5 linked regions of the Oryctolagus cuniculus genome follow. The protein of the gene in region 3 interacts with the protein of the main gene of each other region in a pairwise test. Links are inferred from orthologs where the notes say so. Each region holds a gene or a part of one and is shown on either strand. Other genes may lie near its edges. The genes, in order: GNL3L, TASOR2, LDOC1, PSMF1 and POLL.

Region 1 (6,099 bases), about 81 Mb from region 3:
CCTGGTGTATAGTAAATAAATACTCAGCAAATGTTAGCTGTTACTAAGATTATTTGCTGGAGTTCAGAGGCATGCCTTTCAGAAACTCCTGGGGAAATTTGTCCCATTCAGACACTACCCTCTGCAGCTCTGCCTTGTGGCTCCTACTTCCTTGTCTGCCCTAAAGAAGGGTGGGCCTTTCTCTGGGCCTGTCTGTAGACACTCTGGCCTAGTTGAGAAAGCTCTGGATTTCTGCTTTGAGTTTCTCTCTAGGGCCACTGGGTCTTTCAGTGTCCTTGAATTCCAAACGAGGGAAAGAGGACTTGCCTGCTTCCTAGTGCATTCCTCATGTGGCGACAGGCGAGTTGGTCCCCCTTTCTGAATGAGTTATCCTTGTGTCAGCCAGTGATTGAGAGTGGGTAGAGCTCATGTTCTGATGATGACGCTTGTCCCTGGCTGGATGTGAGGTCAAGAGGGACTCCTTTGCTGAGAGTGCTGAAGATGGAGACTTGGCAGTTGAGAGAGGGTGAGGGAGAGATGAGTGGTGAAGATTTCCCAGAGGAGTTGGCCCTAGGGCTGGATCTGATCTTGAAGGGTGAGTAGGGATGAGAGGGGCCAGGGGAGGGGTGGACTAAGGTGTAGAAGCAGGCTTGAGCGTAGCATGGGCACAGGGCAGTGGGCACACCTAACAGTAGAGGCCAGCCCTAGGCAAGGGGCCAATGGGAGGAGGGGGAGTCCCAGTGGCTACCATTTACCGAGTAGCAGTGTGGCCCAAGCATCGTAGATGCCCCCTGCCATGTCACACAGCAGCGCTGTGTGAGTAGCCTTATGGAATCCCCATTTTTCAGATGAGGATGCTCAGGCTCCAAGGCTAGCTCAGTAGGCGGGTGTTTTACTGCAGAAGCCATGCCATGCTTTTAATACTTTGTCATGTAATCTCTAGTAGGAATGAAAAAGCCACCAAGTGCCCTGGGTAGCACCCATATATCCTTTCCACTGGGGGTTGATGAGGGACTGGTAGCAGGGACAGGTCAGGGCCCTGACAGTGGTGTTGCTTATGTTAAAGGTTTGGCCACAGGAGAATCAGATGAACTGTTGGGTGACACAGACCCACTTGAAATGGAGATCAAGTGGCTTCATTCTCCGATGGTGAAAATAGCAGATGCCATTGAAAATAAAACCACCGTGTACAAGGTACCTGTTCTGTTTCTTCCTGGCAGCCCTTCACTCTGTCTAGGGCTCTTAGAAATGGTCCCTGCCTTCTGCCTGGCTTCCATGAGGTCGTGAGACATGCGTGGTTCACTCACTCCCTGAGGGATCCTGGGTACTTGGCACGGTGCATCATTTGCCAAGCAACGACAGTTCCAGGCGGGAGGCACACTCTCTCAAGCAGCTTTCCCAGGCCTATTCTAGCCCATAGAATAGGCATCATTGTCTGCTCTCCTGGTTGTCCAAGTTGCAAATGGCTTTTTTTTTAAAGATTTATTCATTTATTTGAGTTAGACAGAGAGAAGGAGAGGCAGAGAGAGAGAGAGAGGTCTCTCCATCCTCTGGTTCACTCCCTAATTGGCCACAATGGCTGGAACTGTGCCGATCTGGAGCCAGGAGCCAGGAGCCAGGAGCTTCTTCCAGATCTCCCACGCGGGTGCAGGGGCCCAAGGACTTGGGCCATCTTCTACTGCTTTCCCAGGCCATAGCAAAGAGCTGGATCAGAAGTATAGCAGCCGAGACTCAAACTGGTGCCCATATGGGATGTCGGCACTGCAGATGGTGGCTTTACCCGCTACGCCACAGCGTCGGACCCCCTGGATACTAATTTTTTTAAAAAAGATTTATTTATTTGAAAGAGTTACAGAGAGAGAGAGAGGAAGAGACAGAGATGTCTTCCGTCTGCTGGTTTATTTCCCAGATGGCTGTAATGGCCAGGGTTGTGCCAGGAGCTTCATCCAGGTTTCCCACATGGGTACAGGGATCCAAGCACTTGGGCAATCTTTTGGTGCTTTTCTCAGGCCATCAGTAGGGAGTTGGATCAGCAGTGGAGTAGCTGGGATGCAAACTAGTGCACATATGGAATGCCAGCATCCTGGTCAGTGGCTTTACCAGCTGCACCACAATGCTGGCCCCCTGGATACAAACCTTTAAAAATATGTAGTTTAAACATATTTTGATTTACTTGGAGGACAGAGGAACCCAGAGAGACAGAGATCTTCCACCTGCTGCTTCACTCCCACAACAGCTGGGGCCAGGACCCCAAAACTCTATCTAGGTCTCCCAGGTGGGTGGCACAACCCCAAGCACTTGAGCCATTCTCTGCTGCCTCCAAAGGTGCACATTAGCAGGAAGCTGGATCAGAAGCAGAGTCAGGACTTGAACTGGCACTTTGATATGGGATGCAGGCATTGTAAGCACTGACTTAACCTGCTGTGCCACAGCATCTGCCCCTGGATCCAAGTTTTCTTAAGTACCCTCCTATATAGATACAAGCAGATGCAGCTAACTTTTAATTCAAGCAATACCATGCTATTCACGTTGTTGTGTACTTTGCTTATTTTACTTACAAATTCATCCTGGAGCCTGTTCCACATGATTATTCAAAGGGCTGTTATTTTTTTTTTCATGGCTATATGCCTGGAAGGATTTCTTAAGCAAGGGAGTGACATGGTCAGATTTGTATATTACAACAGTCATTCTGGTGGCTGGAGTAAAAAATCAGATTAGAAAGAAAGGGGCCAGGGAGTGGGCATTTACCCAGCAGTTAAGGTACTTGTGTCCTACATCAGAGTGCCTGGATTTGATTCCTGGCTCTGGTACCAGTTTAGACCCTGGGAGGCAATGGTGATGGCTCAAGTACTTGGGTTCCTGCCACTCATGTGAGCGATGTGGATTGAGTTTCCTGCTCTGAAACTCCATTAATTGTAGGCATTTTGGGGAGTGAACAAAAGGATGGGAACTCTGTTTCTGTCTGTCTGCCTCTGAAATAAATTCGAAGAGAGCAGGAGAGAGGATGTGAAGAAAAGAGGGATGGGGGAGAGGGAGAAAGGGCAGTAGTGGAGATCATGGCAAAAGCAGGGAGTTCAGGGAAGAAATTATAGTCTATAGTGAGTCTATAAGAGAAGATGGGGTCTGAACTCTGACAGTGGCAGGAGCCACTCTGTCCCATTCTCACATAGTCTCAGAGGTGCCCTGTTGCTTAAAGGAATAACATCGTGAAGTTGTGTGTTTTAAGTTCACTTTCCCCCAATAATACCTCTCACTAAACCCATAAGCCCCAGAACATAGCATTTTCCCTCAAGAACCTGTACTCTCATCAGGGCCACACCATTGCACAACTCTGAGCGACACCACTTAGGGACACTATATTATGAATGGTTTCCCCATCCCTATCCCAGGTAGTACAACGTGATTTAAAAATTTTTTTTATTTATTTGAAAGGCAGAGGTACAGAGAGAGAGGGAGAGAGAGACAGAGAGGTCTTCCATCTGCTGGTTCTCTCCTCAAATGACTACAAAGGCCAGGGCTGGGCCAGGCTGAACCTAGGAGCTCCATTCAAGTCTCCCACATAGGAGGCAGGGACCCAAGCACTTGGGCCATCTTCCACTGCTTTCCCAGGTGTGTTAGCAGGGAGTTGGATCAGAAGTGGAGCACCCACCCAGGACTCGAACCAGCACCCATATGGGATGCCAGTGTCACAGATGGTGGCTTAACCTGCTGCAACCACAATACGGGCCCTGGTACAGTGTGATCCTTGATTAGATCCACCCATCTTGGCTTTTCCCTGTGATAAGATAGTGAGTGGTCATACATATGGGTTCTGGAGCTAGGCTGCTTGGGTTCTGATTTCCTCTACTGCCTACCAGCTGTGTGACCTCAGGTACCCCATTTGCATAGTATTGTTACAAGGTGAGTTAATACAAATATATAAATGAGATAATACATGACTTAATGGAGATATGTTCTGCAAAATGGATCATTAGGCAATTTTCTCATGTGTAAACATTATGGAGGGGACTTATACAAACTAAGACAGTTTATGGCATTGCTTGGTGATAAATCTTATGGGATCACCATGTACATGCAGTCCATTGTTGACCAGAATGTCTTCCTGTGGCTCATGGCCAAACATATGTGTTTGTTGTGTGTGTGTGCACATGTGCTCACAGTGGTGCCTGGTACACAGTGAGCTTTCTGACAATAATGGCTGCTACTACCCACTTGTACCTTTCACTGCTGCCAGATAGATCCCCTTTTTAGTGCCCAGGTATGCTGTGTACTTTTCCACTGTTCAGTCAGGAATGACTCTCCCTGTCAGTTGTATGTTGACCATGCCATTGCCCCCAGCCTCTCAGTCACTTGGCCTTCATGTCTCTAGTGGGCAGTTACTATTACCGTACTCTGACTTGTGGTATACATTGTTCTATCCTCTGTAGCCTCATTGTTCCATGGGGCTGGGACTGAGTGTGATTCATTTCTCTGTTCACAGCGTTGCCCCATATGGAGCTGGGCACAAAATAGATATCAGGAAACATGTTAAATTGAGTAGGACTTTGAAGGGGCATTGCAATATCAGTTATTATTGATGAAGTAATTCTTTCATTTTATTCTTGTAAAAGCTATACAGGCTGCCTGTTATCTAGTCCATTTGACAGAGGCTGAGAGCAAACTCAAGCGTGCTCACATGTGGTGGAGCCAATGTTGAAGTTCAGTTCTGCATGGCTCCAGGCTCTCTGTTTGTACCCAGGCCTGTCCCTGCCTGGTCTGCAGAAGTCTTTGGAGGTCTGTTATCTTCTCTCTCTGCAGATTGGAGAGCTCACTGGGTATTGCACTAAACCAAACCGTCATCAGATGGGGTGGGCTAAACGCAATGTGGAACACTGCCCCAGGAACAACAAGGAGTTGAATGCCTGCCCAGTGGACCGCCGCCCGATGCTGCAGAAGATCATGGAGACCGACCCCCTGCAGCAGGGCCAGGCTCTGGCCTCTGCCTTGAAGAATAAGAAGAAGATGCAGAAGCGTTCAGGTGGGGACACGTGGCCATTGCTGTGCTCCAGAATGGGCCTTCCTGGGGCTTTGAATAGGGGCTCTTGAAATGAGCATCTCTGTGTGTCCGACTCCAGGCAAAGCTTAGGGGGCAGAGATGGTTTAGGAGGCTCAGCTACTAGCACAGTAGTTCTCAAGCTTTACCCTGCTTCAGAATTGCCTAGAGGGTTTCTTCAAACAGATTTCTGGGACCATCCCCCAGTTTCTTACCGAGTAGGTTGGAGGTGGGGCCTGAGCGTTTGTAATCTTAGCAGGCTCCCAGCTGCTGCTGATCCTCTGGGGAGCACAGTCGGAGAACTGTTGGCCTAGTCTGCAGGCCAAATAGACACACGTATGACGTGACTTCTAGGTGTTAGGCAGCTTGCAGGCTTATATAATTTTTGCTTTATCAATAGGCAATATATTAAAAAACCAAAAGGTACAAAAAGACAAATCTCTCTCATAACCTTTCTCTCTCATCCACTAATCATCTATCCCTCCCGCCATGGGCAATCAATTAGTTCCTTTTGTCTTTTCTTAGATAGGCAAGCAAATATGAGGACACTTTGAAAAGTTCAGTGAAAGTAGAATTAAAAAAAGATAAGTTTATTTTGGTGCTAAAAATAGTTGAAGGGCAGATGTTTGACCTATCAGGTAAGTCTCTGCTTAGGACACCCACATTTCCTGTCAGACTCTCTGATTCAAGTCTAGCTACTTTACCTCTGATCCAGTTTCTTGCTGATGCGCACCCTATTAGGCAGCAGCTAATGTCTCAAGCATGTGGATCCCTGCCACCCACATGAGAGACTCAGGTGGAGTTCCAGGCTCCTGGCCTTGGTGTAGTTCAGCTCTGGCTATTGTGGGCATTTGGGGAGTGTCTTTTCCAGATATAAAAAGGAAAATAAAAAACCAAAAAGCCATGCATAGTGTTTTCATGATAGACATTTCCCATGAACTTTGAAAGACTCCTTGTATGCGTGTATTTTGAATTATTTTTGCACCAAAATAAACATCTTTCAATTCCATTTTACACGGACTTTTTGAAGTATCCCAGTATGTATATTCTTTGTTTTTTTTTTTCCAACACAAATGCTAGTCTACTGA
Region 2 (6,099 bases), on a different chromosome or scaffold from region 3:
CATTTTATGCTTTCAGTATGGATTTATTCTAGAATAAATTAGCATGGATTTAGATAGCACCTATGATGCCTGTCTTAACATTGGGTAAGCAATAATTCTAAACCTGGGGTTACTCATTCCATTTATGAGCCTTAGAGGGCTTGCAAAATGAGCAGGATCATTATCAAAGTTAAGATTTCGGGAGCATACATGCCAGATGGTGTCCTAAGCCCTTTAATAACAGTAACTCAATTCTCAAACCAATGAGGTAAGGACTGTTATTCTCCACATTCTGTAGATAAGCAAACTGTGGCATAGAGAAGCAAGGAAATTGTTGAAAATCATGCAGTAAATTCTCAAGACTCAAATCTAGGCAGCTTAGATGTTTGTCAATGTCAGATTCAGTGTATGTGGGTACATATATAAGGAGTCTTCAAAAATTCATGGAGAGAGCATTTTTTGAAAGAACTATACATGAATTTTAATTGTTTTTGCACCAAAATAAACTTTTCTCATTTTTGAAGTACCTCTGTAAAGATGCATATTTTTGTGTTTATGTATATTGTAGTCATATATGTGCTTTTTCCCCCCGAAGATGGAGTTCAGAAAGTTCATCTGATTGTTTAAAAGGTACATAAAAAACAATTAAGAATTACCACCTTAGCATAAGAAAATGTAATTTAGTCAGGCAAATTTTGATTACTATCCAAATAAATACTTCTTATATATATATATATATTATATGATTTATTTATTTATTTGAAAGAGTTAGAGTGAGCTTCCATCCACCAGTTTACTCCTCAGATGGCTGCTACTGCCACGGTTGGACCAGCCTGAAGCCAGAAGCTTTATCTGGGTCTCCCAATGGATGGCAGGGGTCAAACATTTGAGCCATTTTCTGCTGCTTTTCCCAGGCCATTGGCAGGGAGCTGGATTGGAAGTGGAACAGCTGGGACACTAATCAATGCCTGTATAGGATACTAGTGTTACAGATGGCAGCTGTTTTTTGCAGATGGCATTGCCCCATACACGTAATAGTTTCTTAAAGTACCTTTTGGGGGCTGGTGCTGTGGCTTAGCAGGTAAAGCCACCATCTGCGGTGTCGGCATCCCATATGGCTGCTGGTTCGAGTCCCAGTTGCTGTACTTACAATTCAGCCCTCTGCTGTGGCCTTGAGAAAGCAGTGGAAAATGGCGCAAGTCCTTGTGCCCTTGCACCCATATGGAAGACCTCAAGGAAGCTCTTGGCTCCTAGCTTCGGATTGGCACAACTGTGGCCATTGCGACCATCTGGAGAGTGAACCAGCAGGTGGAAGACCTCTCTCTTTCTCCCTGCCGCTGTTTCTCTGTAACTCTGCCTTTCAAATAAATAAATTTTAAAAACAGTACCTTTTGCTTCTTGTAATATTTAATGGTAATGTAACTACCTATCATCATACTATTCTTAGGAATGATTTTTGGCAAACATGAAAATACAGCATAAAGAACTATAAAATGGAATATTAAAATTAGTGATTACTAACAATCTTTCTAGCATTTATACAGGTCAAGTCTGACCCAAAGTGCTTAGGACAAGTGTTGCAGATTTTGGATATTTGTGTAGACTTCACCAGTTAAGCATCCCTAATGTAAAATCTAAAATGCTGTACAATTCAAAAATTTGAATTCAGTACCCAAAGTATTTCAGTTTGGATTCAGATTAGTAATGCTCACTCTATAGTTGAAAGTTTTTCCATCATCTTTTAGTTATAGTGCCTGCAGTTGAAAAGATGCACAGATTTGTTGTATATGCCATTCACTTCCTCAACAAGTGATCACCTTGGGATATGAAGGGGGTTCCAGACAGGTACCAGAAATCAGTGGCATTTTGTTGTACTCATATGCTGAATTGAGTTCTTTATAATATTAGACTTTATTTTAGAAATATCACACTGTATCTGAAGTAAAAAATAGATCCAGGCAGGCATTTGACCTGTTGGTAAGCTGCCACTTGGAAAGCCCACATACATATCAAAGATCCTGAGCTTGAGTACTGCCTCCACTCCCAGTTCAAACTTAATATACATCCTGGGAGGCAGCAGGTAATGGCTCAAGTAGTTGAGTTCCTTCTACCCTACCCACATGGTTTGAGTTTCCAGCTCCTGGTTTCAGCTTGACCTAGGTCTGGCCGTTGTAGGCATTTGAGAAATGAACCAGTGCATAGGAGCTCACTTGCTCTCTCTGCCCCCCCCCCCCCATAAATAAGTAAATACATTTAAAAATAATTTTTAAATATAAATATATCACGATTGTCATGTTGGCATTTCACTAAGACCATGAGGTGGCCAAATATTATCAGCCATAGCTGGGTTGGGGGAATAGCACAGGAATATTCTCAGAAAAATTCCTGCCATCAAGACTTTTCTAATGTTTTGTCTACATAAAACCTCATCTCAGGCCCACCCTGCTGCCTAATTAAGTTAATGTTTCTTTGGTTAAGACAGAAAGGGTTTTAGAGAGATTTGAGGCTAATGTGCACCCTGGGAGGCAATGAATGATGGTTCAAGTGCTTGGGTCCTTACCACCCATATGGGAGACCCAGATGGAGTTCCTGGCTCCTACCCTGCCCAGCCCTAGCTGTTGTAGACATTTGGGAATGAACCAGTAGATGGATGATCGCTCTTGCTCTGTCACTGTGCCTTTCAAATAAATAAAAGTAAACTTTTTTTAAAAAAAGATAGAGATTTGAAACCCAGATCCTGACTTGCCAGCATGCTTCAAGATACAGTAGGTAATCTGTAAGCATAAAATTCCAAACATTAGAGGCATAATCTGTGTAATCTCCCCATTTTACCATATTCTGGAAAAGACAATACTTGAGACTTTCAACAAAACAAAACAGCCTGTCCATAAGGTTATTAGAATTGTCCTCCGGTAGTTCTGCCAATATTTAACCTATCTTGTTATTGTTTAATCCAGTCCCTTTATTTTAGGAATGCAAACCACATTGATAAGTTTTCTGTTGATCTGTGGAATAAGAAGTATTAAAACAAGAAAGAATTCTGTCCAGTTTTAAGTAAAAAGGATAGCTATGGGAGAAGGGACCTTAATTTATCTGAATTATTGTATTCTCAGTTGTAGTTAATTTATAGTGTTGCCTCATGGGACAGTTTGAAATGATGGTGTATTTATAGTCTTAACTCATTTATTTGATTTTTTTTATCATTTCAGGTAATTGGGGAAAAAACTAAACAAGAATCATCAGCTAAATCGGAGACTTCTAAACTTATGCTTTCTGATATTGGAAATGCCCAAATTAATGGACTTTCTGTTCCTAGTAAAGATAAAACCTTTCAGCAACTTGATAGCACAACATTGGTTCCTTACAATGATACTGTCACACAAGTCCCATTCACCACAACTTACAGTGAGACCAGCAATCAGTCAGTGATGTGTCAAAAGTCTGTGTGCAGCACCCTTGAAAGCAAAGTTGATATTTTTCATGCACAAATGCAAACAAACACAGGTGCTTTACAGGACCATATCCATCGTAGAAGCCCCATAAGCAATGAATGGCAGCCTTCCTTGGAGAGGACAGATGATACGGGGTATGTAATGATTAATCTGGAACCGGTTACTCTTACATTTGACAAAAATGCCTATGTACCAGTACAGACAGAAGTTGTAAATAGAGGTGATAAACCAGTTACCTTTAATACAGAGTTGATTAAGCAAGTATCACCTACTACAAGTATTGGACATCCTGTATCCACAGTAGAGAAGTCACAAATACAAAGTCTTGGGGGCATTCCACCTCTAGCAATGTCAGGACAGAAAGGTGCTAATTACCTTTCTGCCTCTTTAGTAACTAATGGAACACTTGCTGAAGAAACATATTCCTTACAGAAAGAGATACCTCTTACAATCTCATCACCATCTGATAATGCAGTGGTAATGAAGACGTTGTTAGGTAAAGGTTCTAGTTATCCATTAGCTGATGATAAAATGAAACAGTCTCAAGAACTTTTTATGCAGACTCAGAATCTCTTTAGCATATGTTCAGAAGAGATAGTAGAGCCATCACAGGTTGAAGTAGTCTCACCATCAGCCTCTATCACCTTGGAGAAAAAGTATTCACTTAACTGCATTCCATCAAAAATCAATACATCAGATGACTCTTTTGAACTAAGAAAGAATGACAAGAGTGGTATAAACAATGAAAATATGCATTTTGAATCATTTAATTCAATATTTGCCACTAAACAAACCAGCCTGTCTCCAAATAGAGAAGAAGTTAGTGTAGAGTTATCAGAGGAGGATTCTGATATTGACTTAACTCTAACAATATCTCCACCTTCAAGTCCCAGAAAAGAAATGCCATCTGATGAAAATGAGCAACTTGAGGATGTCCCATTATCAAATATAGAACTTCAGGATGTAGTTGAAGAAATAGCTGAGCCAGAAGAGGTGACCCTCATGGAAAACAGACCAGTGAATTCAGTGTATCCTGCAATGTCAAAAAAACTATTAGAAAATAAAGAGAAGAAAAGTGATAATTTACAACCAGTTACTTTAATACTTTCTAAAGAAAATTGTACCCTTGAAATTGCAGAGGAAGTTATTACCTCTGACTTTCGCTTTGATTCTCTTATTGAGGAAGTGTCACCAGCTTCTAGTCCTGACCCTCCAGTATCAATTGAAGAAACACGACCAACTCAGACTGTGTCACCATGTAGTTTAATACTTTATGGTACACAGTGTGAGAAAAGTAACAAATTCTCCCAGATTGTGTCAGGAGATTTAGCCATAACAGAAAAAGAAAATTCTTTAATTGGGCCTAACTATACTGAAAGACAAGGTAATTTCACTCAGGTACAACAAATTCAACTGTCTGCTGATACTCCTCAAGCATTAAACAATCATCCAGGAAGAAAAGATAGACTAGCACTTCCTGGTAAAGTAACAGAGGAAATTGTCCCAACTGAGCAAGATGAGGGTTTATCTTTCTCAGAGGAGGTACAGTGCTATGATACAAAGTTAAACCAGCCTGCCTCAACTGGCCAAAATGAAGGTAATGTCAAGCCTTCCCTTGAAAAACTGGTAAAATCGGGAAATTCATTGCAACCAATTAGCATAGAGAACAGACATTTGGACTTAAAACATCTTGTCTTGGAGTCCAGTGAACCTCCATTTAGTCCTAGAAAGATTAATGAAAATAAGTCTTTGGCTGACACATTAGTTTCTACAGCTACTCTAAGTGATATAATGAATATGCCAATAAAACAGCAGACTAGCCCTAAAAGCATTAAGAAAAATTTCTTTCACAGTGATTTGAAAACAGAGTATGGCAGTTCAAGTAAGGCCAATCTGTTGAACTCTGACTCCATTGATGGAACTGATGCTGTGCACCTAGAGATCCCAAAGCTTGGTCCTCCCTCTGATGGTACTACATTAACTCACTATGCATTACCAGTTAGTGTAGAGCCAGGGTTTCGAACACAGGAAATATCTGTAGTCAGAATGGCCAGTTTGCTTAATAGTGAAACTGAAGCTGAGTTACATGAAGAAAACACAGATCTACATGTTGCCAGCCCTCAGTCTGACAGCACATCCACAAAAAATGAACAAAAAATCTGCATGCTGCAGAATACATCATGGGAAACAAAAGAGCTGTTGAATGGTGAACTTTTCCCCAAAGATGCTGGTCCTTACCAAAAAACAGCAGATACCAGTAAAGATATCAATAAAGAGCCTTCTGCTTTCTCTATTCCAAAATCCTTTGACTCTCTTGTTTGTGAAATCTCTAAAGAGCATGTGGAAAGTAACAGCACTACTGAGGGGTGCAGGGCTGAGGCTGATTCTGAAACCCTAGACAGAGACAGACAGAGCAGTGTGAATTCTGACATATACTATGAGGCACTTTCTGAAGACCATGATGAATTAGATGTGGAGGATTCTTACACTTTGAGTGGTAGTCATACCAGGAAAAAAGATGCTACAAAAGGTGGTTTTGACACTTTTATGAAGGTAAACAATAATGATAATGAAGGTTGGAGCTACTTTAACAAAGTTCCAGAGCTGGAAACCAGCATTCCACCCAGAAGCTGGGCTATTAGTTTAAATAAAGAAGATAAATGTGTGC
Region 3 (5,953 bases):
TTGATTTTTAAATCTCTGTTTGTCTAACTGCGATGCTGCCAGTTCTCACTGTGAGTCACAGCCTTCACGCTACACGGAAGCTGTGTGTTCCTGCCTGCTTGGATACAGATGCACAAGGACACCAATGAGCACATGTGCACCCTTTAGAGTCCTCCCTGGACTTGTACCCACAAGATTTTAGAGTAAGTGACTGACAACAAACACAGAGAGGCCAATGGCACTGAAAGATTTGTATTACTTGTGTTTCTCCAGTGGAGGGAGCACAGCACACCATGCAGGGCCATGGGGAGGGAGTACAAGACTTTGGTCAGGGCACAGAAAGGTGTAGGGAAACCAAAAGCTACAGTCTTTCTTGGGGCATCTGTGGGAAAGGCAAGGCAGGGCTGGGTAAACAGTTTAGGGTCGATTTGTTTAAATAATTCTAGCAGTCTTGAGGGAGTAAGGGGCATCCTAGTTGTCTGATACCTGGACTTAGATTGATTTTTGAACAGGGGAACTATTGGGTTGGGACGTGAGAGTTTAGAAAGAGGAAGTGATTTTAGATACGCTCTGTGAATCTCGGGATGTGTAAACAACCATGGCCAGCCAAGGCCATCCCTACCAAGGCCATCCTGCACGCTGAGCTGAGTATAGGCATGATGGCTGGAAACACACTGTGATATTTCCCATCCATCCCTTTGTGTTATCCACCACACATTTTTGAACTATCTAGGAAACACTGTCAGATATCAAAGGTCAAAGTTTGAGTGAGAGCAGCTCCCTGTCTGCTTTCAAGGTTCTGCTTATCTAGTGGGGGATCTCATAGAACTAAGAGGGAGCTCTTAGGAGGATCTAAGGGTTCACGTTTCTATTTCCTCTTTTCCTTACTCTCCCGTTGAGCAGTGTATTCCTTCCTCCTCTCTCTACTTGGGCCTTGGCTCTGGTTCTCTCTCCCAGCCTCCCACTTCCATGAATGACCATTCAATTCTATTGTAAAGAGTGAATGAGATTACTTTAAAAAATAATTTTGTTATTTGTATTATGACTGATTTCATCATCAGAGCTGCACTACATAATTTGAAGAATCCTTTTGGACACTTTGTGCAGCCACCATTTCTAGTTTTCATCTCAACATTTGCATTTTGAGATGCTATCATTCACCAAACATTAATGGAGACCTTTCTCTGGGCCAGGCTGGCTTCTAGGCACTAGAGATAAAGCAGCTAGCAAACAAAGCCTCTCTCTGCACCAACTTACATTCTACAGTGGAGGCAGATGATGAACAAAGTGCTCTACAATGTGCTGGCCAGGATTATGATGATAAATGTTCTGTATTGAAACATATAAGGTAAGGGGTTAGAGACTGGGTGGCACAGAACAGGGCGCTCTGAGAACCGGAGTGCTCAGGAAAGTTCTGTAGGAATGTAAGGGGAGGAGCCAGGCCTCTAACTGGGAAGAGCTTTGCAATTCAGAGGGATAAAAAGTACAAAGGCCTTGAGGCTGGAATTAGCTGATATGTGTAAGAATCAGCAGGGGGTGGGGTGTGATTAGAGCAGAACTGGGAATGGGAGACCTAGGAGAGTAGGCAGGGCCTTCCTTATAGGGCATGGTCAAGACTTTGTTTTTTATTCTAAGTGACAGGGGAAACTATTGGAGGGTTTTGAGCCAGGGAGGGAAGGGATCTGACTTCTGCGCTAAAGGATTCCCACAGCTACTCTATAGAGAACAGAGTGTAGGAAGAGAAGAAAGCAAGCTAAAAGTGATTGCTTTTAGCGGTCTGGCAATGGTAGAAGTGACAAAGAGGGCTGCATTCGTTGTCAAAAACTATTTGAATATTCACATTCAAATAGAAAAAAACATTAAAGAGCACAAATGTCTTCATGGTTTCCTCATTGTTAAGAATAACAACCATTGCCACAGGCTCTGATATCAGGACGTGAAACAGAGCCACACAGGGAGGTCACCTTAAGCGCTTATCAGATGGTGACTTTGCAGAACTTGTTATAAGCCTCTATTCAGAATTTTTTCAACACTTAGTAATGGTTTCTAAATAAAAGTCCCTGTTCAAATACCGCTTTGCGACGAAAGCCCGGACCCCTTAAGAGTCTTTATGACTCTGAAAGGATCGGTGATTGCAGCAGGGCAGTCAGCAGCGTCAGTACTTCTCTAGGGGAGGTTTGAAAAGGCGATTAATCCTATCAACAAAACATCGCACCCAAGAAACTGGCGTTTGCAGACCCGCGAAACAGTGAATTGTGCGAGTCGGCTGTCTGCGACATGGCGCTCAGTGCCCGCCAGGCCCTAGGCTAACGCAGGCCTCACATCCGGGGCTCGGCCCCATTTCACAGCCTTTACCAGTTCTCCTAGCGAGCCAGCACTTGTCTGCTCTCCGCGACACTGCGCGACCCTGCGCTTCCCTCCCCGGCCACTCCCTCCCTGGTCTCAAGTCCCCTCCAACGGTTCGCGGCAGCCAGGCCACGCCCCCACTGCGTCCTGGCCTCTTCCCCGGCCCCGCCCGCACCTTGCTGCGCCGGCGCGCCGCCTGCCTGAGTGGCCTCGGGGGCGGAGCTTGCGCAGCCGCCGGGACCCCACGCTCGCCGTCCCCCGCCCCTGGCCACAGCACTTTATAGGACACGCACTTCCTGCAAGGCCTCTTGTGTGCATCTTGGCCCAGCGGAGCCTACTCGAGCGAGCCCAGACCTTTCAAGCTGTTCGAGATGGTGGACGAGCTTGTGTTACTGCTGCACGCACTGCTGGTGAGGCACCGCGCCCTGAGCATCGAGAACAGCCAGCTCATGGAACAGCTGCGGCTGCTGGTTTGCGAGAGGGCCAGCCTGCTGCGCCAGGTACGTCCGCCGAGCTGCCCGGTGCCCTTCCCTGAAACGTTTAACGGCGAGAGCTCCCGGCTCCCCGAGTTTATTGTGCAGACGGCGTCTTACATGCTCGTGAACGAGAACCGGTTCTGCAACGACGCCATGAAGGTGGCATTCCTAATCAGCCTCCTGACCGGGGAAGCCGAGGAGTGGGTGGTGCCCTACATCGAGATGGATAGCCCCATCCTAGGCGATTACCGGGCCTTCCTGGATGAGATGAAGCAGTGTTTCGGCTGGGATGATGACGAAGACGACGACGACGACTATGAAGAGGATGATTACTAGGCCCCGAGCCGCTGGGGGCCTATGAGGGGAGAGCCCTGCACGCAGCCACTTCTCCCTCTCCTCCACCCCCACCCCATCCCACCCGACCTCCGGAGCTGCTGCACTCCCCTTGCCTTCCTGTTCTCCCCTCCCCAACCCCCGAAGTGCTTGTCTTTGTTCCAGGAGTAGTGCTCCAGCTACCTGCTGCTGGGGCTGGGCAGGGGCCTCACCCTGAAGCCGGTCATCTGATTTGCCTAGCCCCAGGACCTCTCCCCACCTCATCTGAACTGTGTCATAAGCCCCAGTTATAGGCCAGGCCCCTGTTACAAACTGCTCAGATCACACTGCTGCTGCCACCTGCCTCGCTGCCAGGCCTACACCTGCACAGAGACTCATGCTACCACTGCGCCATCGCCCACTGCAAGCCTCTGACAGATCATCGCTTTTAGAGACAAGGACCAACACAGAAGACTTCTGACTTGGCTACACCTTTTCGGACATTGATTTGGACAGCTCATCGGCCCCTCAAGGGGCTGTTTTTCAACCTGGTTAGTTCCCTACCTACTCCTAGGGTCCTCTACCCAGCCTGAGTGCTGCGGGGACCTGGTGTGCCTGGCAACCAAATTGTTGATGTCTCTTTTCTCTAATGCACAACTGTCGTTTTTCTTTCATAATTGCAGCAGCCCCACCAATGTGTGTGGTTGAACATATGTTTCTAAAAACAAAACAAACAAAAAGCAAAAACGCACTAAGCTCAGCTCCTCAATACTACCTGGAAAAAAAAAGTTGGCATTATTTTCAATAAATATCAAGCACTACAAAAAGTGAGAAATGATTGTCTTTTAATGGTTAAGTGCTATCACTGGCATCTGCCATGCTCACACTGACTCCTGCTATTCCCATTGATGTCCAATTCAATCCCAGTGGTCCCTATTGTCATCTCTAGGCTACAGAGGACAGTTTCCACGGGGCTTTAAAAATATTCCAATGCTTCCCTTACCAAGGCATAGCTTAAAGCCCAAACGGAATGTCTTCTGGGGCCTCCAGGGTGGCATGGGTAAGGGGTGGCTGAGCATGTGGCTCATCATCCCAAACCAGGACACTTTTGAGAGTAAAAGGGGATGCTATTACTAATCATGGTGACACAGCAAGCGTATAAACCTGGACACATGCATGAAGGGGCTTCATGAAGTCCATGGGAAAATGGAACTAAAATAATGTACATTTTCAGTGAACTTTGTGAAGCCCCCAGTGTGAGCCCTGCTTGTCTTTTGGGTTCCTTAACACTGTCAGGGAAGCTCTGTCCCTTAACCCTTATTGCCTGTGAGCTGCTGTTGAGTTCAGGTTCTGATTTACAGACATCTCACATTGTTTTAAAACTACTTCCTGGTACTTGAGATAATCTTAAATCCTGTATCCTGGGTAAGTATACCAATAATCAGTATAGTTTGATCTTAACATTTCATCCGCCTTGGGCACATATTGTCAGGTTCCCACCCATACAAGTGGCCCAGATTCTTGTTATACAAATTAGCAAGGAGCTTGATTATCACATGAACCAGGTACTGTATTGCTGGCTAGGCTACGCTGAGAACTCTGTGAGCATGGGTGATCCCACGGGTTCACAGGGGTGTATGCTGAGAACAATGAGTAGTTCTGTGAAGCCATTACCCCAGGTTAAGTCACTGAAATGTTTAATGAACAGATGCTGTATTATGCGGTTTGTGAGGGCTACCTCTTGAAGCCATGAAGGTTAAGGAGGATTTGAGTGGTTCAGAGTTCTCATTCCCATTGATATCTTCCCAAAATGTCACTGTTATGCCAGCCCTGGAACCAGCCTGACCTCAGGACATCTAATTTATTTAGAATTTATATATATATATAAAATATATAATATGTATATAATATATATAAATATATAAAATATATATATAATCTAATATATATTTTTAGATTATATATATATGTACACACACGTGCACACACACACACATGGTCTTAAGGTCTTTTGAAGCAGGATATTCTTTTATGCATGCTGTTAAATCTCAGAGTATGCATTAAATGAGATACTGGTCATCATTTTAGCTTGCAGGTATAGCTTAAATATGATTATTCCCTTAAGGCCTGCCATTTGGTGAGTCTGGAAACCAAACTCTCAGAAAGCAGGTCTCTGTCTATAAGCTGGTTTTTGTAGGAAAATGTCGGGAAGAATAGGAGCACAGCAGGATCGGAGAGGTTGGAAGTGAGAGCCTTTTGAGACTATTTACTCTTCGGGGTCTGATGAAGGCAAAAAGCAATTTTACTTGGTGAACAGACCAAGTCCAGGCTGGAGTCATTTCCTGGGCCTGGGGCAGTGCTCTGAATGGGGACAAGAATGGACATGACTTGACAGGAATGGATATGATTTGACAAAGGAGGCTAAGGCCTGAGTGGAAATGAAATCTGGTGCTCTTCAGGGAGCTGCTCCCTCCAAACCTGAATAAAGATGATTTCTGGTTGTCAAGGTGCCATTAATCACTCCCTCAGTCTCCTCAGAAGGCATGCAAAGACCTGTGGAAGACAGATAGATTAAACTTCAGACATAATATATATGAAGCCAGATAATCAGTTTCTTCCTGACTACGAATGTCTTGAACTGTGGTTGAAAGTGGGAACGTGATGGGTGGGCAATAGCTAAAAGCTAAATAAAGAACCCAGTGAGACCAAAGGTGGGCCACTCATTCCAAATTTTTCATGGGACAAGTATGTTGACAGGGTCTAGAGAGGTTTAGTGAGTGCAATGTGGCACTTGCCTTCATAGTGGCTCAATGCTGTTTTTATGGTATCTGGGATCAAAA
Region 4 (6,651 bases), on a different chromosome or scaffold from region 3:
GACGCAGCTGCCGGAAGTAACTGCAAGCGCCGGCGCAGCGGCGCAAGGCGCGCCGGACGGGAAACGCTAGCGCGATGCTGAATGGTTCCTCCAGGGAGCGCGCGTGCAGGAAGCGGCGCTTCAAAGCCAGAGTCTCCTGAGCCCCTCCACAGCCCTCAGGGTCTGCTACAGCCATGGCGTTGCGACCCTGAGGAGGGAACGCTTCCCTGTGAGTCACAGTCTCCCTATCCGCAAATGGGGGAGTGCTCGAGTGCAGAAGAAGCTAGAGAATATGGCCCAGGAATAGTCGCAGTAACTGTTAGCTCGTGTGCCGTGCCGTGCCTAGACGCTTTACTTGTGTTCACTTACTGAACAATCCTAGGTAGTTGGTATTAGTGTTATAATCATCTCACAGACGAGGAAGCCGAGGCACAGAGGGACCATTTGACCGAAGCAACGCAGCCGTCCAGCGAGTGGCCTGGATGGTTCTGGAAACCCACAGTCTGGCTCCTGGGATAACCTTTATAAGTGTTTATTGTGAGCTGCATCCTGTACCAAAACCTTTGCATAGCTCCTTCAACAACTATGCGAGGGAGTTCCATTTTTTCCATCAGCCCGTTTGGCAGATGACAAAGGGTTGAAGCCGCTTCTCCCAGAAGCCTTGGCTCTGCCCTCAGAGCCAAAACTCCTGACCCACTACCGAATTTCAGTCATTTCTTTGCCTCTCTCCTTCGTGATTTCTATCATTTCTTGAAGTCCGGTCAGTGCTTTTACTCAAATCAATGTAGTTTCCTCACGTACATGCCATGGTGGGCTCTCCCTTGGATAGCCCCAACCTCAGCACTGCCCCCCTTCACCCTGCCTTGCTGTGGGCTCCTCTGCAGTCTGCAACCTGAGACTCATTTGACACAGGTCAGGACCTCACAGGATTCCCTTTCCACCCTGGGGAAGAGCAAAATCTTCCCCCGTGGTCTGCCAGCCCCTGCCCCAGCTCAGTGCTCTGCTGACGTCATCTTCTCCATCTGGACCCACATCCCCTGTGCTGGGGGCAGCCATACTTTTTGGCTCCCCTCTGCTGTTGATCCAATGTGGCCCAACCCTCAAAATGTATTCTGCATCTGCACTTCCCACCACCTGCACTTCCACTTGTTCTAAGTCTCCAGCATCTCACACTTGGACCATTACAGCTGCCTCCTAACCAGGCTCCCCCACCACATGGGAGCCTCAACACATGTCCCCAGGCCTTTGTGTCCCTAGGGGGATTGGTTCCGGGATCTCTTTGAGATACCAAAATCCATGGGTGCTCAAATCCCTTATAGAAAATAGTGTGGTATTTACATGGAATCCACACACATCTTCATTTGCCTCTGGATGACTTATAATACATAATACAGTGTAAATGCTATGTATATGGCTATTGCATTGTGTTGTTTAGGGGATAATGACAAGAAAAAAGTCTGTGTGTTCAGTACAGATGCACTTTTTCTTTTACCATGTGCAGTTGATTGGATCTGCAGATGCAGTATAGGTGCAGGTGCAGAGGGCTGACTGTACTGCGTTCTCTGCTGGGAATGCTCTTTCGCCAAACATCTTCATGGTTTGCTCCTTCATTCTAAGGAGCCCCTTCCCTCACCACCCCCCAGCCTCAGCAGGGGGCTTTCCTGACCACCTCATCCAGAAAAACTTCTTTAACCCTTACCCTGACTTCTTTATTGCAAAGCATTCATCATAACCGGATACTACTTTAGATATTTATTGCTTTTTTTGGGGAAAAAATGTCTTCCTAAATGACTGTGACAGAGCGGTGGTAGGGACCATGTCTGTCTTGTGCACAGCTGCCCCTGGGTGGCTTCTACACTCAATGCACACCTACTGAGAGGAACAAAGCATGAATACTGCATGAAGGAATTCTTGGCTTAGTTTCCCCCTTTGCAGTCCAGGGCTCACTTTGTCAGCTGACCCTGTGCCTCTCCTGTTTTGTGGTCCTAGGGTTTCCAGGTTCTTTGAGCCCCATCTGCTGAGGTTCTGGCTGAGCAGGTGTGAGATGCAGACAGGTAAGCTGACTGCACTCTGATTGATGCTAAAGCTAAAGCTGGTAGTGACAGAACTATCTGAGGCATACTGCCTGTGCTGTAAAGCTATTTATCCTTTCCACTGAGAAGCCTTGGGCTTTCAGCTTCACTGATATTGCTTGCTCTGTTCCTTCTGCTTGTAATGTCCTTCCCCAGTTAAGGAAAATTCTTGCAGATTCATTCCCACTTTCATAGACTGGACTTCCATGGATGATGGAGCAGGCTATGCACGGCACAAAGATGCCTGTGCAATGGCAGCCCTATTCCCAAATGCCTGCTACGAGCCAGCTGATTCTTGTTCCTATGGCTCTTGCTCTGTCTAGTGGTAAAAAAATACAAAGATAACTCACTGTGAAAACTTCCCTAATAACGGGGTACTCAGGAGCCTCTGTAAGCACACAGCAAGCACCTAACACAGAGTGGGGGTCGGGGAGGGCTTCCCAGAGGAGGAGGTGGCTGACTGTACAGAACGTGGATGGAAGATTGGGACTGGATTATGGACCAAAAGGTAAGAGGGAAGAGCATGCACTCAGGCACGGAGTGTGTTATGCAGCTGGTTCTGTGTGATCAGAAGGTCATTGCTGCTTTCCGAGTGAGGCCTCCCCTTGTCTCTTTGGCCTACAATTAATTTTTCTTTCTTCTGTGCAGTTGGCATCAGTGGGATGCCAAGGGATGGGCCTGGGACAGTGAGAGCCGTTAGTCTCAGTGGAAAGGAGAATTTTATCATTGAAGTTGATTAGACTCTCTGGTTCATGGTGGCAATAAAAAGCACACTGACATTTGGTCAGTTTTATTACTAATTATAAGGCTTTTTTTAAAAAACAGACAATGTACAACCCCTGGACACCAGCACCTGGGCAGACAGTTCCCTCACTGCCACCCTTGGTTCCACTCTGTGTAATCCTGATTGTAGCCGTTATCTCGTTGAACTTTGCTTCCCTGTTACACTCTCTAATTCTGTCTTGGTGCGGGTTTCTTCGGGAGCAGAGTCCAGGAAGTAGCAGTAGGGGAGAGGGCACATGAGATGGGAAGGGAAGGGAGGGTGTGATCCAGCCCAGCCACTCTGTGGGCAACTGGAGCTCACTCCTGCTGGGAGCTCTGGAGGCAGCACAGGATGTATCTCCCAGCTCCCAGCTGAGGGAGTCGGCTGGGGTTTTTTCACCGACACCTGTGTCTGGAACAGGTAGATAGCTGCTTCTGGGATCATACAAAGCCCTTTGGCAGGTAGTTGCAGAATTGAGAGCAAGCAAGAAAGGAGTCTTTGGTGCCTAGAGATCCCTACTGAGGAGTGAACAGGGCGTTGCCATGGTGGCTCCTCTGGACTCTCTCTCCCAACTAAGGGTGAGCTATACCTTAAAAAGTTTGTGTCCCAGCAACTGCTAGGAAGTAGGTGCTAGCTCTGTATGTTGAAAGAATGAGATGAGCTCTGTCTCCTGTGTTTTGTTCTGTCTCCCTTGGCCCCAGGACCCTCCCTGGGTAGGAACCTGGGCTGGAGATTTGCAATCCCACACCTTGTGTGGACTTACCTCCACCAGCGAGTCCAAGGCTGCCCTGTGAGACTTGTGAGTGGCTGACAAGCAAGTGGCAGGTGCCTCCCTGGATGGGCCCCTACTACCTAGGCAGAACAGAGCCCATGCCAGAGACGAGGGCCCAGGAAGATGGAAAGAACCTGGCAGGTGGCTGCAGCCATCTGTTGCTGGTCACCAAGTGACAGCAATGTGGACATTCTAAGTTCCCTGTCTCCCTAGAAACCATGAAGAAATGAGTTTGAGGGGGCAGGGCCCAGACAGGCACTGATATCTATCACTCAACATTGGGATTCTTCCTTTCCTTTGGCCTTCTGTCAGCCAGACACGTCACCCACTCCAGGAAGACTTATGTGACTAATGGTGTTCTTTGCTTCGACCAAATGGCAGACTGGTGCCCAGGACTTCCCATTCCCCTTGTCCTCTGCATACTGGGTACCTGGAAAAGACAACTTATTTTTGGAAAGAGAATTTTAAGGTAGCTCTGTTTTTTTTTTTTTTAAAGATTTTTAACATTTTGGTAAAATGCAATAACAAAACATCTATCCTATTAACTAATTTAAGTATGAACTTTAAGAAAAGTGTTATCTATTTATTTGAATGGCAGAGTTAGAGAGAGAATGCTTCCATCCACAGGTTCACTCCCTAAATGGCTACAACACCAGGCCTGGGCTAGACTGAAGCCAGGAGCCAGGAGCCAGGAGCTTTATCCAAGTCTCCCACACGGGGTGCAGGGGCTTTTCCAGGCACATTAGCAGGGAGCTGGATTGGAAGTGGAGCAGCCAGAACTCAAACTGGCACCCATATGTGATGCCAGCATTGCAGGCTGTGGCTTAACCTGTTATGCCACAACACCAGCCGCAGTAAAAACTCTTAAAATGTCATTTATATTGTTGTCCACCATCATCACCGTCTATCTCCAGAACCCTTTTCATCTTGCAAAAACTGAAACTTGGTGCCCATTAAACAATGACCCTCCATTTTTCCACCCTGCACTCTAGGGCAACCACCATTCTACTTTCTGTCCCTATGAGTTTGTCTACTTCAGATAGCACGTATGAGTGGAATCATATTCTATTCATCTTTTCGTGATTGTCTTCTTTCACTCAGCATAATGGTCTCCAGATTCATCCATGTTGCAGCTGAGTCGGAATTCTCCTCCCTTATAAGGTTAAATAGCATTCCATTGTTTGGGTATAACACTTTTTTTTTTTTATTTATCCGATGATGGCTACTTGGGCGGCCTCCACCTGCTGGCTTGTGTGAGTTATGCTGCTATGAACATGAATAAATGTCAAGACTCTACTTTTGGGGGTCAGTGCTGTGGTGTAGCGGGTAAAGCTGCTGCCTTCAGTACTGGCATCCCATATGGGCGCCGGTTCGAGACCTGGCTGCTCCTCTTCCTATCCAGCTCTCTGCTATGGCTTGGGAAAGCAGTAGAAGATGGCCCAAGTCCTTGGACCCCTGCACCCACGTGGGAGACCCAGAAGAAGCTTTTGGCTCCTGGCTTCGGATCGGTGCAGCTCCAGCTGTTGCAGCCAATTGGGGAGTGAAACAGCGGATGGAAGATCTCTCTCTCTCTCTCTCTCTCTCTGCCTCTTCTTCTCTCTCTGTGTAACTCTGACTTTCAAGTAAAATAAATAAATCTTTTTTAAAAAAAAGACTCTACTTTCATTTCTTTGGGGGTATGTACCTAGAATAGGCATTGCCAGATTGTATGGTAATTCTATTTTTATTATTTTATTTTTTTAAGATTTATTTATTTATTTGAAAGGTAGGGTTACAGAGGTAGAGGCAGAGGCAGAGAGAGAGAGAGAGAGAGAGAGAGGTCTTCCATCCGCTGGTTCACTCCCTAGATGGCCGCAATGACTGGAGCTGTGCTGATGAGATGCCAGGAGCCAGGAGCTTCTTACAGGTCTCCCACGCTGGTGTAGGGATCCAAGAACTTGTGCCATCTTCTACTGCTTTCCCAGGCCACAGCAGAGAGCTGGATCAGAAGTGGGGCAGCTGGGACTCGAAATGGTGCCTATATGGGATGCCAGCACTGCAGGTGGCAGCTTTACCTGCTATGCCCCAGTGCTGGCCCATACTTTTACTTTTTTAAAAATTTTATTTATTTATTTGAGAGGTAGAGTTACAGACAGTGAGAGGGAGAGACAGAGAGAAAGGTCTTCATCCACTGGTTCACTCCCCAAATGGCCACAATGGCCAGAGCTATGCCAATCCAAAGCTAGGAGCCAGGAGCCTCCTCTGGGTCTCCCATGTGGGTGCAGGGACTCAAGGACCTGGGCCATCCTCCACTGCTTTCGCAGGCCGTAGCAGAGAGCTGGATTGGAAGAGGAGCAGCTGGGACTAGAACCGGTGCCCATATGGGATAGTGGCGCTGAAGGTAGAGGATTAACCTACTGTGCTACAGCACCAGCCCCTATTTTTAGTTTTTTTAGAAACCATCAAACTGGTTTCCACTGGTGGCTGTACCATTTTACATTCCCACCATTGACGCACTGAGGTTCCAGTTTCTATACTTTTGGCCAGTGCTTACATTTGGTTTTTGGGTAGTTGCCATCCTAACAGGTGTGAACTGCTCTCTCATTGTGATTTTGATTTGCATTTCCCTATTGATGGTGATGCTCAGCATCTTTCATTGACCATTTTTATGTTTTCTTTGGAGAAATATCGATTCAAGCTTCTTGCTGACTTCTGAATTGGATTGTTTGTGTTTTAGGGATTGCGTGTGTGTGCGTTAATCCCATATGAGGTATTTTATTTGCAAATATTTTCTCCATTTCTGCAGGTTACCTTTTTACTGTTTCTTTTCTTGGACAAAAATTTTTAATTTTAATAATTTGTCTACTTTTCTTATTTGCTGCCTGTGTCTTTGATGCCATATCTAAGAAATCACTGCTAATCTAGTGTGAATCTCTGTTGCTTTATGATTTTGAGTTTTATCCTTTTAGGTCTTATGTTTACGTTTTTGATCCATGTTGAGTTAATTTGGGGGGACGATGTGAGTACAGGTCCCATTTCATTCTTTTGTGCGTGGATATCCAATTTTCCTGGGAAAGGAAAGCATA
Region 5 (6,891 bases), on a different chromosome or scaffold from region 3:
CAGCAGAAGATGGCCCAAGTCCTGGGCCTCTGTATCCATGTGGGAGACCAGGAAAAAGCTCCTGGCTTAGGGTCAGCCCAGCTCCCACTGTTGCAGCCATTTGGGGAGTGAACTAGCGGATCGAAGATTGCTTGCTCTCTCTCTGCAACTCTGCTTTTCAAATAAATAAATAAATCTTAAACACACACACACACACACACACACAGTAGGATGGTAACTGCAGAGGCCTGGGTCAGCCAGGAAGCAGTCAGTGCCATGGAGATGCCCTGCAGCTGGTTTCCTGGTAACATGGCCTTTCAACAAACTTTAGCCTTGACCAGGGAAACATCTACTGTGCCTTAAGAAGGAGTAAGCATTACATTTTAGGGCCACTGTTGTGGGAAGAGGGATTGACACTATGAATACAGTTGTGTGGGAATGGGTCTGAAAATGTAATGTACCTCCTTAAGCAATAATCAAGTCTGTTAACTATTACCAGAAGTTCAATGTGATTAACAGTCATACATAAATTTATCTTATTTAAACCTCATTCAATAAATGTACTCAGCCTGTAAAAAGCAAAAACAAAAAAAAGTATAAAACCTATAACCAAACTTGGGCTGTGGAACAGCCAACTCGGGCAACTGATCAGCTCTTTCTGGGTTCAAATGCTTAGTCTGACTTGTTGAATAAATTCAAACTTCAATTTCAACCAGATTCTGATTATTTTAGTCAACACCACTTTTCTGAGGTCACTAAAGGCCAAAGTCACTGAGGCAGAAAGTGGAATGGCGGCTGCGGGCAGGCGGGAGGTAGTTTCTGTTTAAAGCTTGCAGGGTCCCGGCTGGGGAAGAAGAGATTCTGGAGGTGAAAGGTAGTGATGGCTGTACCACAATGTGACGTGCTTAATGATACTGAACTTTAGACCTTCAAATGGCGACAATGCTCACAGCTCTAAACACATTTTTACAATAATACAAAACCAAAAACCACTGCCTGTGAGATAACGTCTAAGATCTCTAGCACAGCCTAAGTGAGCTATTGCAATATACCTCAGTTGATACCCATCCCATCAGATCCTACCATTTTCCCTCTCGGCCCCTTGAGAAATGGGGCCCTTCTGTCCACCCTGTGCCCCAGCGCCTGACACCGTGCAGACAGGTGACTGCATTAGCATCTCTAAATGCAGTGACCAGCCCTAGATTCTCAGCCCTCCTCGCCCTCCCATGACCAGCTCCACCCTCTCTTCTCCACTTACAAGCAAACACTCATTAATTCCTTGGGACCCAGGAACATCACCTCTTCCGCTGGGTCTCTCTCCAAAGACATGATCACTTCGACTTCAGGCTCTCCCGGCCTTGGATACAAGACTCCCTTTCGGGGCCGGCGCTGCGGCACAGTAGGCTAAGCCTCTGCGGCACCGACCACATCCCACATGGGCGCCGATTAGTGTCCCGGCTGCTCCACTCTGCTATGGCCTGGGAAAGCAGGAGATGGCCCAAGACCTTGGGCCCCTGCACCCATGTGGGAGACCCGGAAGAAGCTCCTGGCTTCCCATCAGCCCAGCTCCAGCCATTGGGGCCATTTAGGGAGTGAACCAGCATTTGGAAGACCTCTCTCTCTGTAACTCCACCTCTCAAATATATAAACTAAGTCTTAAAATTAAAAATATTCCCACCTTTATTTAACCAACACTAGCATTTATATTTACGTCTTTTTCAGGACCATCCCGTGAACTCCTGGGCCATGTCTTTTACTTTCCATCTACTTTAGCACAAAGCTTGGCATAAAGCAAAACCTTCCCAAACGTTGCATCAGTGAGCAAGCAAATGAGCAGCTGATTCTAACGTCCACAAACTCCAGGCTTTCCTGATTGGCTGTAGAACAGTCCCTGCCCGCCCCCACCCATCAGCTTGCAAGACTCAGGAATTCAGACCTACTTCACCCTGGCTCCCATGTGGGTCCAGAAAAGGACCCCAAAGCACAGGGGTCCTCATCGGGGAATCTAAGGTGGGAAAAAGTCAAGACCCAATTCCCTGTAGTCAAGACCCAATTCCCTGTGTCCACCTCTTCCAGACACAGAACCTTGCTCTTGGCTCTAAAGACCTTGGAAGCATTTAGAGGGTCTCATTGCGCAGCTATCAACACAGCTGAAAACAATCCCAGCGGTCACAGCGGTAGTGCACCCACCTTACAGATGAGGAAAGTCAGCGCGCCAAGAAGCCCACGGGGCATTAACAGCGCAGTGAGACCTACAGCCCAGTCTCCCGCTCCCCGACGGCACCTCCGCACTGAGGTTCAGGGGGTCCCCGGTCAACATCCAGCAGACGGGCTGAAGGAGCTGGGCCGGTCTAAAACCGTGTATGTCTGCTTTCCCCTTCTGTAAAACGGGGTGGAAAATTAGCATCTCAGGATGCCGGGGAGGAGCAAAGTCGTTCACAAAAACCACAGCGGAGCGACACGGAGCAAACGATACCAGGAGGTGTCCGGGGACACCTGTTTCAGTGACGTCACCTCTCTGGCCTCAGTTTCCTCCTCTACAAATGCAGGCCTGGGCCACGGTCGCGACCCTTCCACCTCTGCCGTCCCGGGACCTCGGGCCCTTCCCGGGGGCCCCAGAACGCGGCACCGGACCCTGAGGGAAAGGGCGAGGGAACTCGCGGGGGCCCTTGAGTTACCGTCCTGCAGCAGCGCCGTCTTCTCCGCAGCCCGCAAACACTCTAACCAACCGGTCACCGCCATCTTCCCTGAATCCTGCAGCGCGCCCGGCCGCTGTCATGGCAACCGTTCTGCTGCTGGGCACTTCCGGGTGACCCGGAAGGTGTTGTCGGGCATTTCCCTCCCACCCCCTCCCACCTCCGTCCGCGCTCATTGGCGCCCCTGGTAAGTCGTTTACCCCTGCCCGTGCTTGGGGCCGAGTCGGGGGGGGGGGGGGGGGATGCGTGGGAATCTAAGGCCTGGTCCGTACATTCCAGCTCTCCTCTGGCCCGCAGCTGAGAGTCCCTGGCCCTCGCCAGCTGTGCTGCTGCGGAGTCCCACACCTGCCCGGGTCTTCACCCCCAGCTGTGAGGCTGAGACTCCCCCAGTCCCTGAGAGCGCCCACACCTGCTGCGGTTGTGCCTCATCTGCCCGCAGCCGCAGGGCTCAGCACCCGCAAGCCGTGGCCCACGACAAGGGCAGGTGCAAGGCTTTCCCACTGCCCCTGCCCCACCCTCCTTCCGGTTTTTCCTCTGAAGAGTTGGTGCTAGAGAAGGATGTAGGGTAGGCGCAGAATCCCCTCCTGCTGCACTCCTCTGGAGGCCAAGAGCTTCCTAAAGACACAGATAGCTCCGTTGCTAGCCCGGCACGTTTTGATAAAACCCTTTGGAAGTGGGATGCGGGAGGCAGATCCCCCTTTGACGCTTCAGTATCTCCCACACCTAAAAAGAACACTCTTTCCCTCATTGCCCTTCGTGCTCCAACTTTGAGAGGCTGGGGAGTGTACAGCAGGCTCATGGCACTAAAATGTAACTGGGTCGTGGGAGACCCTTGGGAAGCAAGTGGCTGTCTCCAAGATTTGGTAGGTAGCGATCGCATCCCCATAGGCCAAGAGGTTCCACATGACAGCTGCTCTGACCAGCCTGGGACAGAAAAGCCAGGAGCAAGCTTCCATGGACCCCGGGGGCATCTTGAAGGCGTTTCCCAAGCGGAAGAAAATTCATGCCAATTCATCACTAAAAGCGTTTGCAAAGATTCCCAAGAGGGAAGAAGGAGAAGCAGCAGGAGGTGAGCTGACTCTAGGAACCCTCGTGTACTTGAACCCTCAGCCTTCTTCTATCCAGCCCTACATCGTTGATGTCTGGAGCCGGAGAGTAGAACTGACTCTTCTGGCCCAGGGGCCGCCAGTCTGTCTGCACCTGCCTTGTGCTAAGCTCTGTCCCCTTCTTTGACAGGCTGCTTGCTGCCTTAGCATCTTCCCTACCCCACGACCTTCATAAACCAGAAAATACTCCCCCGTCCCTCAGGAAAAGACCAGTAGAATCCTCTGTTTTCTGTGTGACAGCCCTGGGGGGCAGGGCAGAAATCCCACTCACTTTCCCAGGCTTGGTGTAGGTCGTTTTGTTGCCAAATTGACCAGTAGCTGCTGGAGTCTTTGAGAAGGGGCTGACGAGGACAGTGTTAGATCAGCCAGCCAGTAAAGGCAAGAAGCCTGGAACAGCAAGTAGTATGTGCTTTTGTTGAAAGAGTAGATCATAAAATAAAGCGAGAGAGAGAAGGCATTCATTCTCTTAATTCATTCAGCAGATATTCATAGGTTACCCACAGTGTGCCAGGCACTGTTCTAGCTTACACAAGGGACAGGGCATATAAAAATCCCTGCTCTTGGGCTGGCGTTGTGGTACAGTGGGTTAAGCCACCACTTTCATTGCTGGCATCCCGTATGGGAGCCAGTTTGAGTCCTGGCTGCTCCACTTCTGGTTCAGCTCCCTGCTAATGTGTGTAGGAAAGCAGCAGAGGATAGCCCAAGTACTTGGGCCCCTGTCCCCAACGTGGGAGACACGGATGGAGCTCTGGGCTCCTGGCTTCAGCCCGGCTCAGCCTTTCCATTTACACGATGCCCGGGAGGCAGCCTGCTGTGTGCTCCAAGAGCAGGCTCCAAGAGGCAGGCTTCTGGAGGGAGCGACTGATCTGGGAGGCGGAGACCAAATGGCTCATTCAGGCCCTGTCTGAAAGTTATGACCTCGCATCTGGATGTCCTCTCCACAGAGTGGCTCCACTCCCTGCGGGTCCACGTTGTGCCCACCGGCATCGGACGAGCCCGGGCAGAACTCTTTGAGAAGCAGGTTGTCCAGCATGGCGGCCAGGTGTGCCCTGCCCAGGCCCCAGGGGTCACTCACATCGTGGTGGATGAGGACGTGGACTGTGAGCGGGCCCTGCGCCTCCTGAGACTGCCCCGGCTGCCCGCAGGTGCTCGGCTGGTGAAGTCGGCGTGGCTGAGCTTGTGCCTGCAGGAGCAAAGGCTGGTGGACACGGCTGGATTCCAGGTCTTCGTCCCCAGCAGGTGGGCTGGCCCCAGGTGTCCTCAAACCCTATCTCGCAGCATCTTGAGTGCCTAAAAACAACTGTTATTTTCTTAACTGGACATGTTTGGAAACTAAGGGCTCAGAGTGGAGAACGAACAGGAACAGAGAAAAGGTGAGACCTTTGGTGTCTTAATCTCCCATCACCATCCCTGCAGGTACTTGGACCAACCGCAGCCCAGTAAGGCAGATGGAGACTCATCTCCTCTTCCTGGCACCCACGAGGCTCTGCTTAGGACAGCCCTCTCTCCTGCGTCCCCTCCCACCAGACCCGGAGCTCTTCCCCCAAAGGCAGGAAAGGCACCAAGCACCCAAGCCCAGGTCAGGAGCCACCCAGCCCCCACAGCTTCCTTCCCCTGGGAACCAAATCTCAGAATGAGGAGGGGCTGGTGGGGGCTGGTGTTGTGGTGCGGCAGGTTAATCTACCACCTGTGATGGCCATCCCACATCAGAGTGCTGGTTTGAGTCCAGCTGTTGTGCCTTCCATCCAGCTTCCTGCTAGTGTGCCTGTGAAGGCGGTACAAGATGGCCCAAGTGCTTGGGTTCCTGCTGAGTGGAAGTGGAACTCATGGGCAAGACCAGAACAAGGCTCCTGGTCCTGGCTTTCGCCTGGCCCAGCCCTAACTGTTACAGCCATTTAGGGAATGAATCAGCAGATGGAAGACACCTTTCTCCCTCTTTCTTCCTCTGTTCCTCTTTCTTTCCCAGTTGCCTTTCCAAAATAATCAGTTTTTAAACAAAGAAAGTCCAGGGCCGGCACTGTGGCATAGCAGATAAATCCTCCGCCCGCAGTGCCAGCATCCCATATGGGTGCCGGTTCAAGACCTGGCTGCTCCACTTCCCGCCCCATTCCCTGCTAATGTGCTTGGGAAACCAGCAGCAGACAGCCCAAGTCTGTCTCTCTCTCTCTGTAACTCTGCCTTTTAAATAAATGAAATAATTTTTTAAAAAAGAAAGCCTCAGGCTCCCGAGAGAGGAATGCTCTCTTGGTTATGAAGCCATTTTGTTCTTCCCAACACTCATCACCCCTGCCTTCACCTAGGCCATTCCCACGCATGCGTGCAGATCCTGGGGCTCGCCACTCAGGGAAGCCGTGAGTTACACACCCCAGACTTAGGGAGACCCTAAGACTGATGCAAAGACCCAACCTCATTTTTGGATCTGGCAAAGGGGACCCCCCCCCCCACACACACAAAGCCAACCTCTACCTTCAAGGAGCCGCCCTCCTGGAGGGCCAGAACTTATCTGCTGTTCTTCCCTACCTCAAGCCCACCTCTGATGATGAAGCCAGCGATGGGGAAGAGCCCCAGGTTAGCGCTGCCGATCTGGAAGCCCTGCTCAGCGGCCACTACCCCACCCACCCTGAGGGAGATACGGAGCCCAGCCCAGCCCCGGAGGCCCTGGAGAAATGGGTCTGTGCACAGCCCTCGAGCCAGAAGGCAACCAACCACAACTCCCACATCACGGAGAAGCTGGAAGTGTTGGCCAAAGCCTACAGCGTCCAGGGAGACAAGTGGAGGGCTCTGGGCTATGCCAAAGCCATCAATGCCCTCAAGAGCTTCCCCAAGCCTGTTTCCTCCTACCAGGTACCTGGGAGCTGAGGGGCAGGGCTGGGGCCTGCCCTGCTGGGGGCTCATGGACGCCAGTCCACTTGGGGATCAGCTATGGTGGGTACGATCTTAGGAAGTCTGGGATTTACACAAAAGCCACAAAACACAAGTCTGGGAAAGCAGCTTGGCAAAATCTTGCTAGTCGTCGAGGCTGAGTGAGGGGTACTGAGGGGTTCCTTATACTGTTCTCTTTATGTTTGAGCTTGTGACAGAATCAAAGGGTTTTTGTCTTGAAGTTTCAA

What was found.
Region 1: the proteins of LDOC1 (region 3) and GNL3L interact in binary tests that used the Homo sapiens proteins (3 or more experiments, as listed by UniProt). The two-hybrid records come from large-scale screens. The link is inferred for Oryctolagus cuniculus from reciprocal best matches to the Homo sapiens genes LDOC1 and GNL3L.
Region 2: the proteins of LDOC1 (region 3) and TASOR2 interact in binary tests that used the Homo sapiens proteins (3 or more experiments, as listed by UniProt). The two-hybrid records come from large-scale screens. The link is inferred for Oryctolagus cuniculus from reciprocal best matches to the Homo sapiens genes LDOC1 and TASOR2.
Region 4: the proteins of LDOC1 (region 3) and PSMF1 interact in binary tests that used the Homo sapiens proteins (3 or more experiments, as listed by UniProt). The two-hybrid records come from large-scale screens. The link is inferred for Oryctolagus cuniculus from reciprocal best matches to the Homo sapiens genes LDOC1 and PSMF1.
Region 5: the proteins of LDOC1 (region 3) and POLL interact in a two-hybrid assay, tested with the Homo sapiens proteins (2 studies listed by BioGRID and IntAct). The two-hybrid records come from large-scale screens. The link is inferred for Oryctolagus cuniculus from reciprocal best matches to the Homo sapiens genes LDOC1 and POLL.

What each region holds. Positions count from the first base shown.
Region 1 is NC_091453.1:38,618,739-38,624,837, forward strand, and holds part of GNL3L (guanine nucleotide-binding protein-like 3-like protein), read left to right. Parts: intron 1-1,045; coding exon 1,046-1,173; intron 1,174-4,776; coding exon 4,777-4,996; intron 4,997-6,099.
Region 2 is NC_091444.1:79,650,288-79,656,386, forward strand, and holds part of TASOR2 (protein TASOR 2), read left to right. Parts: intron 1-3,188; coding exon 3,189-6,099.
Region 3 is NC_091453.1:119,607,559-119,613,511, forward strand, and holds LDOC1 (protein LDOC1), read left to right. Parts: upstream 1-2,332; 5' UTR 2,333-2,696; coding exon 2,697-3,137; 3' UTR 3,138-3,940; downstream 3,941-5,953. UniProt on the Homo sapiens protein: May have an important role in the development and/or progression of some cancers.
Region 4 is NC_091442.1:27,065,670-27,072,320, reverse strand, and holds the start of PSMF1 (proteasome inhibitor PI31 subunit), read right to left. Parts: upstream 3,757-6,651; 5' UTR 3,578-3,756; intron 2,034-3,577; exon of another isoform or gene 1,969-2,033; intron 209-1,968; exon of another isoform or gene 1-208. UniProt on the Homo sapiens protein: Plays an important role in control of proteasome function. Inhibits the hydrolysis of protein and peptide substrates by the 20S proteasome. Also inhibits the activation of the proteasome by the proteasome regulatory proteins PA700 and PA28.
Region 5 is NC_091446.1:28,331,831-28,338,721, forward strand, and holds the start of POLL (DNA polymerase lambda), read left to right. Parts: upstream 1-2,758; 5' UTR 2,759-2,862; intron 2,863-3,125; exon of another isoform or gene 3,126-3,240; intron 3,241-3,245; exon of another isoform or gene 3,246-3,472; coding exon of another isoform or gene 3,473-3,578; coding exon 3,579-3,744; intron 3,745-4,725; coding exon 4,726-5,020; intron 5,021-5,197; coding exon 5,198-5,360; intron 5,361-6,307; coding exon 6,308-6,625; intron 6,626-6,891. Other genes in the region: protein DPCD, read right to left, coding at 2,658-2,758.